Caenorhabditis elegans: one gene and its partner. The protein of the gene in region 1 interacts with the protein of each later gene in a pairwise test. Each region holds a gene or a part of one and is shown on either strand. Other genes may lie near its edges.

Region 1 (8,078 bases):
GAACATTGAAGCCAATCGCAACAGACAAGGTACTCTCAAAACCGTTTTAGAGCAGCATCACAATCATCAGAAACAATTTTTTTTGATTTAGGGAGGTAACTACTACCTTGATCGTGACGCTAAATGTTTCCGACACATCCTTGCTTATCTTCGATTGAAAAAAGAAAAGTTTGTCCCATCACTTGCTCTCCCCAGTAAACCGGATGATCTTGCAAAGTAAATTTTCATTTCTTGTTTCACTTCATTCTGAATTTATCTAGGTTGGTCGGTGAATGCGAAGCTTTGAATTTGGCAGAGCTCAAAGAGCTGGCTCTTGACTTGCTTCAAAAGTATCAAAGAACAGAGGAGCAACACTATGTCACTTCGTACGTCCAAGTTACCCTACGCGATTTTGAAAGTTGGCAATTTGAACGAGAGCAGGTTTTTTCAACCTTGTGAATTGTTTTGTATTGAATACTTTAGAATCAAATTGCATTGAAAAAAAAGCCAACAAATGAAGAAGAATATCAGCCAAACTCTGCATACGACGAATGGGATAATCTGTGAAATTGGCCTAATCTTTTTAGAAATTTCATTTCAACGCTTTTCATTTTATTTTTGCGATATTAATTTTCAGATTATCAAATAAATATTACCTACTGTTGAATTGCTTTGTTTTTGTACATTAAGCACATTGTCCAAAACTGTCCGAAGTGATATTCTTTAATTTCTGAAAAACATTGCAGGATGATTTTCTGCTTGTAATCATTTCTTGTTCTTACATGCTCACATTAAAAATATAACAAGGATTTATTTATCTAATCATTAAAAAAAGAAAAGAAAAACGAAAAATTGAACCGAGTGTGTGAGTTTGCGATTGACTATTGGAACGAACCGTAAATTTTTGATGGGGGGAAGGGAGGGGAATGGGAATTGAATTGATTATTAAGTTGATTACTTTAAAGGTGAGCTAAAATTAGGAAAATGAAATTGAATTTCAATCACAACTGTTATTTTTGATTTAATTGATAAATTTTCCCTGTTTCTTGTCGCCGACGTTGACACAATAAAAAAGAGGTGTTCATCATTTAGATCTAGAAAGTTTGCTAATTTTTCTCTCCTAATAGAAGCAGGAAACAATGAAAGGGGTGGGGATGGAGGGCAGTAGTTTTTTTGGTATTGGAATGTTTGAAAATAAATACAAGAAAAAATATGTCACAAGTTTGATATTCTAGAAAATGCCAGAGTCAGTTGGTTTAACCAAAATCAAAGAAACTAGGCATGACTTTCTACGATCAAATATCTTTCTTCCTTTTGTTTTTTCGGAGACTTTTGGAATGACACATTAGGGACATCAGGACGCGAATCTTGAATCCAATCATCAAGTTTTGACTGTTCTTGCATTTCCGTGTGCAACATGTTTTCGACGCGTTCAAGAAACTGAAAATAAAATTGAAGAACTGCATAAGTTTTACACAAAAGTTACCTGGCTAGAAGAATCTCGCATATGATTTTCAAAGAACGTGATACAATCATTGAATGTTGGACGATCTTTTGGATTAAATTGCCAGCACACTTTCATTAGCTCATAACTGAACGATTGCTTTTAGAATTAATTTGAAAATAACGTGTATTCGTTTTAAAAATTCCCCAAACTCACATTTCGTCATGGCAGTATTCTGGTTGTTTGTTTCGATTTCCATTTCGAATGAATTCAATAACGTTGAAAGTATCACAATTTGGATATGGAGTCCCGCCTAATGTGAAGATCTCATAGAGACAAATTCCAAAAGACCAGACATCAGATTTTTGAGTGAATTTAAATTCTTCAATACACTCTAACGGCATCCATCGAACTGGGAGTGGAGTATCCTTGCTCTTCTTCGTCCTAAAATTCAAAAATAAATTTCATTTTGAATCTATGTTAATGATAAATCTCACCTATAGTAGGTTTTATTCGTATGTTTCTTCGAAAGACCAAAATCAGCAATACGAACAATTTTCGTTTTGGTAATGAGAACATTTCGGCAAGCCAAATCACGATGAACACACTAAAATTAAATATTTTCAGAGCTCTTGCACAGTTTTACTTACGGGAACATCTGCAAGCCAAGCCATTCCTTTTGCAATTTGAAGTCCAATAGATAAAAGATCCGAGGTACAAAGTGCATCTGGATCTTCAACTAGCAATCTTGTTCCTTCTCCCAACTTCTCGTCAAATTTGTATATTTTCTTCTTCACACTATTTGGGACCAGATAACTATCGTCAACTGGAACATGCTCGTCTTCAACAAGTTCGTTAATGAATGTATTTCTATGCGCTTGAAGGAATTCGCGCAAATTTCCACCGTCAATGAATTCCGTTACAATGTAGAGTTGTCCCCTGCAAATATTAAACATGGTTTGAGAAACTGCAATCAAATTTGTTTTCATTTTTGAAATTAAAACTTACTGTCTCATGTTTTTAGTTACAGCGCCAATAAGAGCCAGAACATTGGGATTCTTTGGAATGGCACACATAACTTTCAGTTCTTCTGCCATCATTTTCTGAAGCTCAACGTTGAATGGGTTTGTGGAGCCTAAAATTAATAACTTGAGAAAAAATTCAACAAGTTTTGTAAACAAACTTTTCACAGCAACAGGAAGGCGAGTTTTCGACTCAATTTTGCTTTTAGGGTATGCCATTCCCAAAAGACCTTTCTTTACGACACCAAAGTGACCAGAGCCAATTGGATTTAAAATTTCAAGATTGACAGGGTCAATTTCATAATCATTGTTATATGGAAGATAATATGTTCGTTCTTCAACTGGAAGATCCTTCATTTCTTCTGGAAGTGGTCCTGCTTGATGTTTGATCATCGTTTCGTAAAGTGTGTTCAAAGCTCTGAAATTGGAGTATGCTCAAATGTTTAATGTTACTGAACACTTACATATCTTTCTGCTTTGTCAATCGGTTTGATGCTCGCAGTTTGCATGTAAGAAGAAAAACAGCTATGATGGAGATAAGTAATAACAAGGCTAAAAACCAATAGAAAAACAATGATCCTTTTGGTGCATTGTTTACTTGAACTTCAATGGAATTAAGTTTGTCTCCAGCACGGTTGGTGGCCAGGCAATGAAATTCTCCATCATCTTCACCTCTGGCTCTTGAAACACGAAGTATACTTCCATCAACATCTCCATGAGTATATGGATTTCCATCTTTAAACCATTGGTATACGGGCGGCGGGGTACCAGTCATATTGCAATTAATTTCAAAATATTGATCGTAATCTACTATCACAACAGCGTTGGAATTTCCGCCTGTAATGGACGGTTTTGAAATGGCTTTCACGTCGATTGAAGTTTCCAGTAGTTTTTCGGAGTCTTCATTCTTGACCACGCATGTATATGTGCCAGTGAAGCTTGTAGTAACATCCCTGAAATGTTTATTTCAGCAGGTTAAAATAAAAACTAATAATATGCTTACCTCAAATTGAGAATGAGGTGCTTGGAATACTGCTTTATCTCTGTTTCTGTTGTCGTCGGTATTGAAGAAATGTCTGATGATTTTGAATTTTCAAAACGCCACGAAACACTCCAATCATCTGAATCGAGAGGAAACACGCATGTTAATTTGACGTTATCTCCTTCATATATAATTTTCGAAGGTTCCGATTCAGTGGCTTTGCTGCTTTTTTCGTGGTGAGGACGGACCTCAAAACCTTCACCAATTTTTATTAACTTATTGACTGTAATTGCTCTATTTCCCTGAAAAATTTGTATTTTGTAGTGTTTCGCAGTTTAAAATTACGATCGTTACCTTTCTGATACTCGAGCATTTCAGATCCATGCCTTCCGTAAACGTCACATTGTAAATCAAACCTCTGTCAAATGTGCCACCTACGCTGACCAACTTATTCGGTTCAATTTCTTGAAATTGTTCGGAATTTTTTGTTTTATACTCAAAGACAACATCTGCCGGAGGAATTGAAATTGAGATGCATTCAATGTGGAGATTGGTGTCAGGTTTATAGTACTCTTGGTTGGAGATGAAGAACGACGAAGGTTCACGGACGGTAATTTGCACATCTGGCTCATCATTCTCAATTGCAACCTCCCATTGAACGACTTGCACTGTGTCCATGTGTGAAATGGAGAGAACGTACCTGTAAGAGTATTAATTGTGGGGGTAATTAAGCGGAACTTAATTATTTTCTATATTTTTTTTAAATTAGGGCAATGAAAACTCTGTCGAAAAAATTGAAGTTAAATTGTTGCTAAATGCATATAATAAAATCTTAATCTTATATTCTCCATCATTTTTTTTAACTCTTGAAAAAACGTACGTTCCACTCATGTTTGTCGAGACGGCAAAAGCTTTGATGTCCAAATTTTCTGAAAACGCCCCATCTCCAAAAGATGTAGCAGCAATCTTTCGAAAGTCGTCATTGATAATCGTCTCGCTTTGTGGTCCTTCATGAATTGAAGAGTTATAAATTCGACTCCATTTTGCAGTGTAGCTTTCTTTTTCAAATGGGTAGATTGCAAACTTCGCGGTGAGAGAAGTGGCACGGTTTTCCTTGATTCTCATAATTGTAGGGCTTGTTTCAATCACCTTGATCTGAGCTTTCTTTGGTGCAACGTAAAGATGATAGTCGGTGTATTTTGTTTCTTTGTTTTCATGCTCCCAAATACATGTATATTTTCCAGAGTCTTCCAACTCTAAATGTTGGATGCGGACGGTTGTTGATATCTTATTTCCTATGATGCGGTGTCGATCAACGTGTACATGGCTCTGTAAGTAAAGTATTAATAATGCTACTTTTAAACTAGGTTGATTTACCCCTGGATCATGTGAACATTGAGGACATTCGATGGAAAGTTTGTTCGTGTAGCCGTGAAAGATTTTCGAACCGTTGTAGTTGAGGTTACACGTGAGGGAGAAGTTGTACCCAACATGGGGCCACTGAAAACCCTTTTCCCAGGAAAAATGATAACCGTCATCCGAACTTGCTTCTTTTTCAGTGATGATATATGTTGCTGTTTGATTCTCTTCTTTTTTATATCTGCATTCAAAATTAACATCTACAATTTGCTTCTCGCTGTACAATTTTTTGGTGATTTTAAATCCATATCGTTGATCATAATTGTATTTAGAAGCTTCTTTCACAAGAACATTACTGGCGTATAATTCGATGTCACTTTTATCCACAAATTTCGTTGTTTTGCAAGGGACCATAACTTCTCCTTGCTTGTATATGATCATCACCGACTTGAGTGGCAGGAAAACTTTTTTTCGATGAACAAACACGTAGATAGTATCGTTTAATGACGAATGTTCCATTGAAGAGCATGAATATGTTCCAGTATCCGATTCTCGAACGTCATTGAGAGTGAGAACTTTATCTCCAAATGCGTCATCATAATATTCTTCCATACGTTTCTTGAAATTATTTTCGTCATAACCAACGTTCCCTTCCATACTTGGGAAATTGTATTTGAGATCGCCTGGAACATAATTTTTTTTGTCGACAAAAACGTGCATAAATGTTGAAGAAAAAAAAACACTCACCATTATGATGTGCAGAGCACTTTAGGATAAGGCGGGTATGTTCCTCTAGTTCCACGAACTTTCCTATGCTGTCATGTTCCTGAACAAATTTACTGTAAGATAGATATCTGCTTCTACACAAACTCAGGTACTTATGTATTCTATGCCCTTAATTTCAAATTAAAGGCAAATATCATTTGTTTTTTACTTTAAATTAACTTTGAAATGGATTTTCACTCTCTTGGTTTAGAAATGGCAATTTCCTAAATTTTACAAAAACATTCCATACGTTATTATTTTTATAACGAACCGAAGCTCATTTCACTATATTTTTTAATAGAATGTGTCTCAAACAGCTCCGACATAAAAGACAAACGAGTCAGATTATCCAATTTTAGAGCGAAGTTTTTTTCCGATTGTCTTTTAAATTTATATAAATAATTAATTTCGATTTAGATAGATTCTCAAGTTTAAGAAATACAAACCTGAACTTGATAATCCTCAACTTCGATTGCGGGCGGTTTGTATGATGCACTGGCATGAACCAGTATTAGAAGTACCGTGAGCTTCAATTTCATCTCAGAAAAATTGTTCTTGTGCACTGATGTTTCATTCGGTTCGGTTCTGTAAATTAATTTAGAATAGATTTTAATTTTCTAAATAGACGAGAAGAATTTAGTAGCGTCCGTAGGCAAAACAATAATAAAATTGAAAGCATTTTTGGGTGAAAAGGGAAAAGTAGGATGACGCATCGCAAAACCCCCGCGGGGAGGCGAGGTGCGGGGCATATTGATTCCAACACTTTGAAAACAGGCAGGAATGAGCGGGGAAGACGACAGAAAAATGGTAAAGTGAGTGAAGGAGAAACAGTGGAGAAAGATGAGAGGAAAGGAGGAAAAGCAGGAAAACATCATGCAAACAGACAAAAATTGAAACCATCAAAAGACAAATTTTCTAACAATGAATATTACATATGAGTCATGAGCACTATCAAGTCTGAAAATTCTCAAAATATAGTAGAAGTAGGCTTCCTATGCGGGTGAACCATGCTTTGAAATTATATGTAAAAATACGGTCATTCTGGGCTGGCAGGTGGTACGGAGCAGACTGTACATGCATAATTAAGAACGCATGTGTGGTGTTCCGCAACATTTGACAGCTGACTTCATGAACTCTCCGACCTTTAAATTGCTTAGACAGTTATTATTAGGTCACAAGCAGGAAGGAAATGGGAAATGAGACGAGCGGATAAGGTGCCAAATATATAGTTGGTAATGTCAAGCAAACACCTGCGTTCGGGATCGACATGAGTATGTGTTAGTAGGTAAATAAAAAGGGTCAGGCACCTAAATCCTGATTAAATATACAATGTTAGGGCACAATACCGAACGGCGGAAGACATAAAACGTAGTGCGAAGAGGGAATGCAAATTGAAAGTATTGCATGGGTCGTCGGAAAGTGTGTTGAACTAGAATTCCGTAACATCAAAGTAAACGAAAGAATTTTGAAAGAAGATAAATTAGTTCAACACGAATAAATTGGATATATCTTATCTATTTTGCAAGGAACGGAGAGATAATAGAAGTTATACATTACATTGTCCTTTTTCCGTCGGTTATGATAAGATAAAGATCGTTATGATTTAATAAGAAAAAAATGTTCCAAAGCATGAAGCAATATATCAGAGGAACTTTTCTTAAGATTGAAACGATTAACGATATTAAAAAAAATGTTGGTTGTTTGTTTTTTCATAAAACTAGAACTATATAAAACGAACATAAGTTGGAAATCGCAGCATGTCTTCATGATAAAAATGATGCATATGAATAACTCATGGTGTCATAATTCTATTACTCATGACAAATAACGTTCTTTTAGACTTTACTTAAAACCCTGAATGTTTCAATACTAGTTGAGTCACAGGATAAACGAATAATCTGTTCGTTTTTTGTTTGAAAATTGGCACATCTCAAACGTTCTAACATATATCATGTCAGTGAAAAGTGTTTAAACAGAAACCAGCTGTTATTGCTCATTTGCGCTGTATTCTACAAAAGAAATGAATAACCAAGCTCCATATGCTGACTCATCATTTCTTTTTGAAATTTAAAAAAAAAACGATAACTATATCAGGAATACCCGAAATAAATAATTACAGTCTAGCTGCTTTGAACCAATTTGAATACACTAATCCGACGAAAACAAAAACCATTCTCTACAGCTAGAGACAGACGGGGTGCGGGAACACAATGACACCGAGACGAGAGAGAGAGAGGCAGCAGAAGGTACCTGACCGAGCAATGCACTGTACGAGGGAACGACACTACCCACAGAGACGCAGGCAGTTAGGTGTAGATAATACATGGAGCGGCTGTGAATGAAGAGTGTTCCTGGCAGAACAATGCATCCGAGAGGAACGAAAAGGCCATTGAAGAGGAAAACGGATAAGGGTCAATGAGAGGGATATGGCGCACGGAACAACAACAACATCTATATATACCGTTCATTCGACGCGAATTAACCCATGTAGGCTCGTGTCAATTTTCGCGCAGAAACCGATAAACAC
Region 2 (3,807 bases), on another chromosome or scaffold:
AATAGATTGACAGACGAAAAAATAGATTGACAGACGAAAAATAGATTGACAGACGAAAATATAGATTGACAGACAAAAAATAGATTGACAGACGAAAAAATAGATTGACAGACGAAAAAATAGATTGACAGACGAAAAAATAGATTGACAGACGAAAAAATAGATTGACAGACGAAAAAATAGATTGACAGACGAAAAATAGATTGACAGATGAAAATTAGATTGACAGACGAAAAAATAGATTCGGTGAACCCAGAGAGTAAAATATTTAGAAACTTGACATTTTTTCTGAAAAATTTGAATTTCCCGCAAAAATTTTTGTTTGTTTTTTCTGGACATTTTTTCCTTTTTAATAAAAAATTTGTTTAAAAAATTTTGACCTCGTGGCACTCCCGAATTATCCGAGTTATTGTATAAGTTCAAAAAAGTCACAAATATTTATTTTTACGCCCAATCACTTAGAGTTCAACAGTTACCTATTCAATGCGGAGGACATTTCGCGGATCCGAAAATGTCTAAAGTCCGAACCCGTAATATGTCGGGGAACAAAATTTAGTAATCTTTCTGTTTATTGTTTATTGTTCATAGTTCGGCAATACGGTTATAGAAATTACAATTTAAGGTGAAGATCTGAATAAAATTTAACGGAAAGAGTAAGAGTTGGGGAAGATATATTGAAAAGTTATAAAATCGTAAAGTTCATGTAAGTTCACGCAGTGTATGGTGGTGGTGGTGGAGTTTTCAAGGCTTCATCCTTTTTCTCCTCACTTTCCAGCTCTCCAATAGAAACTACGAGAGCTAGCGCCGGGTCTGTCGTGAGCCAGGAGTCAGTTACCAATCCGAATTTCATGGTGTACTTCAAGGACGATCCGCAAGTGTGGAAGCTTGCTGTCAAATCTGTTGGGATTGTAAACGGTATGGTGAACTTTTGAGTTGAGTATGGAGCTACTAAAACGTGCATTTTCCCCTTAGCCTTTGTGTTGCCATATATGTGATAAAGGGGAAAAGGTTCTGCTTCGAGCTCGGCATAGATTTTTTTGACAGTTGATGAGCTATGATTCTCCACTTCCAATTTGAATTCGGTGGTCTCGCCAGGATATAAGGTGAACTTGGGCATTGTAACCTGGAAATTACAAAGTTAGTGAGAAAAAAGTACTGAACATTGGCAAAGATTCGTTTCTGCGTCTACTAGCTCACCTTAAATGTCGGCTGTCCGTTTGAAAACAATGCATCAAATCTTGGACTACTTGTATAAGTCATAACTTGACTCATTTTCTGATCGGCCAGCTTGTGAACCATCTTGAATTCTTTTTCAATGAACAAAGGTCGCGACCATGGTTGGTCAATCTCCAGACGCACTTTGTAGATAATTTTCCCATCCTTGTATGTCGGTGGACAATCTTTTCCTAGTTCGAACTGAAATTTTTGTTCAAGGCGGCCTACTGGGAGCTCATTCTGAAAAATTGAGTTAGATGTTGAAAAAAAAAGAACTAAAACAGTACCTTTCCGTCCTTGCAAATCCATGCAATCCCGTATTTATTCAAGAATGATACAGTTCGGTTTCTAAATCCTCTGCATCTAAACATTACAGATCTGGCATTCAGTGGTCTCTTGGTATCAACCGAAACTGTAAGCTTCATGTTGTCACCTGGGTAGTAGACTGGTTTGTCGAAGGAGATGTCAAGGATCGGATCAGTAGAGCTCATTCTGCAAAAGTGATGAAAAATCGATGAACAACGACAGAAAAAGAATATGCAATGAGTCTACGAGTCGCTACTCAGCCAATTGGCATTTCACTGAGTAGCGACTCGATATATTAAACTTGTAACTACTTTAGATGTGTTGAGTTTAACGGTAAAACCTTGGTTTTAAAGACAAATTTGTAAAATGTGGAACGTGTTAGAAGACCAAAAAAACGAGAAAGAAATGCAAGGACGTGTACAAAAATGACGGAGCAAATGAACGGGCTGCGATTTTATGCACCTGTCCTCCGCCCGCCCATCTTGCGGCTCTTTCAGATCGTGTTGTCTAATCCATCTCAGTGACTCTTGTATTAGCGCTCTTTCTCTAATTGACCATTTTCCCATTCTCTGGCAGATGGTGCGTTTATCTGATAAAGCAGTATTAAACGGCAAATTACAGTGCATCACAGGTAACAGCAGCTGTTAAGCTTGCTTAAGACTAGAAAAAACTTACGTAGTAGTTTAGTTTGATTTCCGGAAAAATTCAAAAACTGTAAAATTCATCAACTAATGAAACTATGGAAACCAAGCTATTCCAATTTCAAGTCGCTACTCAACCAATTGGCATTACACTGAGTAGCGACTCGGTGAACTGGATATTGACATAACTTTTTAAACTTGAACACGAGAAGCTTAATTCTAGAAGCAAGCTTGTAGAAAAAAGTTTTGTAAATACTGGCAAGGTGTGATACATCTTCGACCATGTTTCTAGCATGTAGTCGCTGCTCAGCCAATTCCAAATCACTTTTAGTCCAACTTTCCTTTTTGAAATAAGTTTCAAGCTCATCGTTGAGCAAAGTTATCACTATTTCAACAAATTCGCTGAGTAGCAAGCAACTCAGAAACTTTCAGACCCTGTAACTTACAAACTGAAAATTTACAATTATTTGCATTCAAAAGCCATCATCAGGCTGTGCTTGATCCTCAATTTTCACCCAAATCCGACGACTTTTGACGAAACTCCATACAGTTACCAAGACGCTACTCAGCCAATTACCAAAACTGACCTATACTTTGCTCAGCTATGAGCTAGAAACATGGGTTTAAAAGTAAATTGTAGTACATAAAATTTTGTAATAAATGGTGTAGTGTGATACGGAGCCATAAAAATTGGCTGAGTAGCGACTCACTCAAAAATTAAAACTGCCTTAACTTTGTTCATTTCAGCAGTTGCACATTGGTACAAAAAGCAAAAGTGTTGAGCTGAAATGTTTGTTGTAAATTTTTTTATGTTCAATACATTTTCCCATCTGTTCACCTAACTTTTCTCCGTATCCCTGCGTCTCTCTCTCTATCCCTCGGGAACCCCCCACTCACACAGAGAAGACCTCCTCCCTCTGTCTTTATTGTCTGCGTCTCTCCCGTCCCCACACTCTCTCCCATATTTTTGCAGTGATCCCATTCTTTCTCTCACGTCCAGTCACTGACCTGTACACACACACATTGTGACACACAATTTTCCTTCCCCTTTTTTGCAGTTCTTAATTAGAAATTTTTGCGGATTTTGGGGGAGGGGGGCGGTTGGCAAACTGAGCAATTTTGTAAAAAAATGAAAAATATATTACTTGATAATATTTATAATTTTATTTGGGTTATCAAAGACATGGTTTTTTTTCAGTAATTTTACAAAAAAAAACAAAAAATTGAATAAATTTCATATCGTTATAGCTCAAAAGTGGGCGGAGCCAGAGCAAAAATTTAGAATGAAAAAATGCTCAGAATTCAATTTTCTATAATATATCATCCTCTGAAATTCCAGGGTTTCACAATTTTTCCCCCAAAAATCGGACATTTTTAAGACGAAGCTCGACCGCTTTGGCTTATAGCCAATAAGTGGGCGGAGCCCGAGCAAAAATTTTGTATGGAAGCATTCCTCAGATTTTGATTTCCTGTTTGAGTACTCCATTTTGAACAATAAAAATCTCAAATTTTAGTTTTTCCAGACCTTTTTCCCCGAAAATCTTGAAATTTTGGATATGGAGCCAAACTTTTATGACTTGTAGCTCAAAAAGGGGCGGAGCTTGAGAAAACTGATCAACTAACGAAATATTTAAATTTTTGAGTT

What was found.
Region 2: the proteins of ver-3 (region 1) and arrd-1 interact in a two-hybrid assay, tested with the Caenorhabditis elegans proteins (one large-scale study listed by BioGRID).

What each region holds. Positions count from the first base shown.
Region 1 is NC_003284.9:10,990,543-10,998,620, reverse strand, and holds ver-3 (Tyrosine-protein kinase receptor ver-3), read right to left. Parts: upstream 6,145-8,078; 5' UTR 6,091-6,144; coding exon 5,998-6,090; intron 5,613-5,997; coding exon 5,534-5,612; intron 5,470-5,533; coding exon 4,805-5,469; intron 4,757-4,804; coding exon 4,308-4,756; intron 4,128-4,307; coding exon 3,782-4,127; intron 3,730-3,781; coding exon 3,449-3,729; intron 3,399-3,448; coding exon 2,910-3,398; intron 2,864-2,909; coding exon 2,607-2,863; intron 2,559-2,606; coding exon 2,432-2,558; intron 2,363-2,431; coding exon 2,074-2,362; intron 2,031-2,073; coding exon 1,921-2,030; intron 1,868-1,920; coding exon 1,640-1,867; intron 1,572-1,639; coding exon 1,466-1,571; intron 1,420-1,465; coding exon 1,255-1,419; 3' UTR 770-1,254; downstream 1-769. Other genes in the region: F59F3.6 (Potassium channel tetramerization-type BTB domain-containing protein), read left to right, coding at 1-29, 92-216, 261-420, 463-546. UniProt on the Caenorhabditis elegans protein: Receptor tyrosine kinase which may be involved, downstream of pvf-1, in the positioning of ray 1, the most anterior ray sensillum in the male tail.
Region 2 is NC_003280.10:625,413-629,219, reverse strand, and holds arrd-1 (Arrestin C-terminal-like domain-containing protein), read right to left. Parts: upstream 1,716-3,807; 5' UTR 1,707-1,715; coding exon 1,503-1,706; intron 1,456-1,502; coding exon 1,198-1,455; intron 1,124-1,197; coding exon 710-1,123; 3' UTR 562-709; downstream 1-561.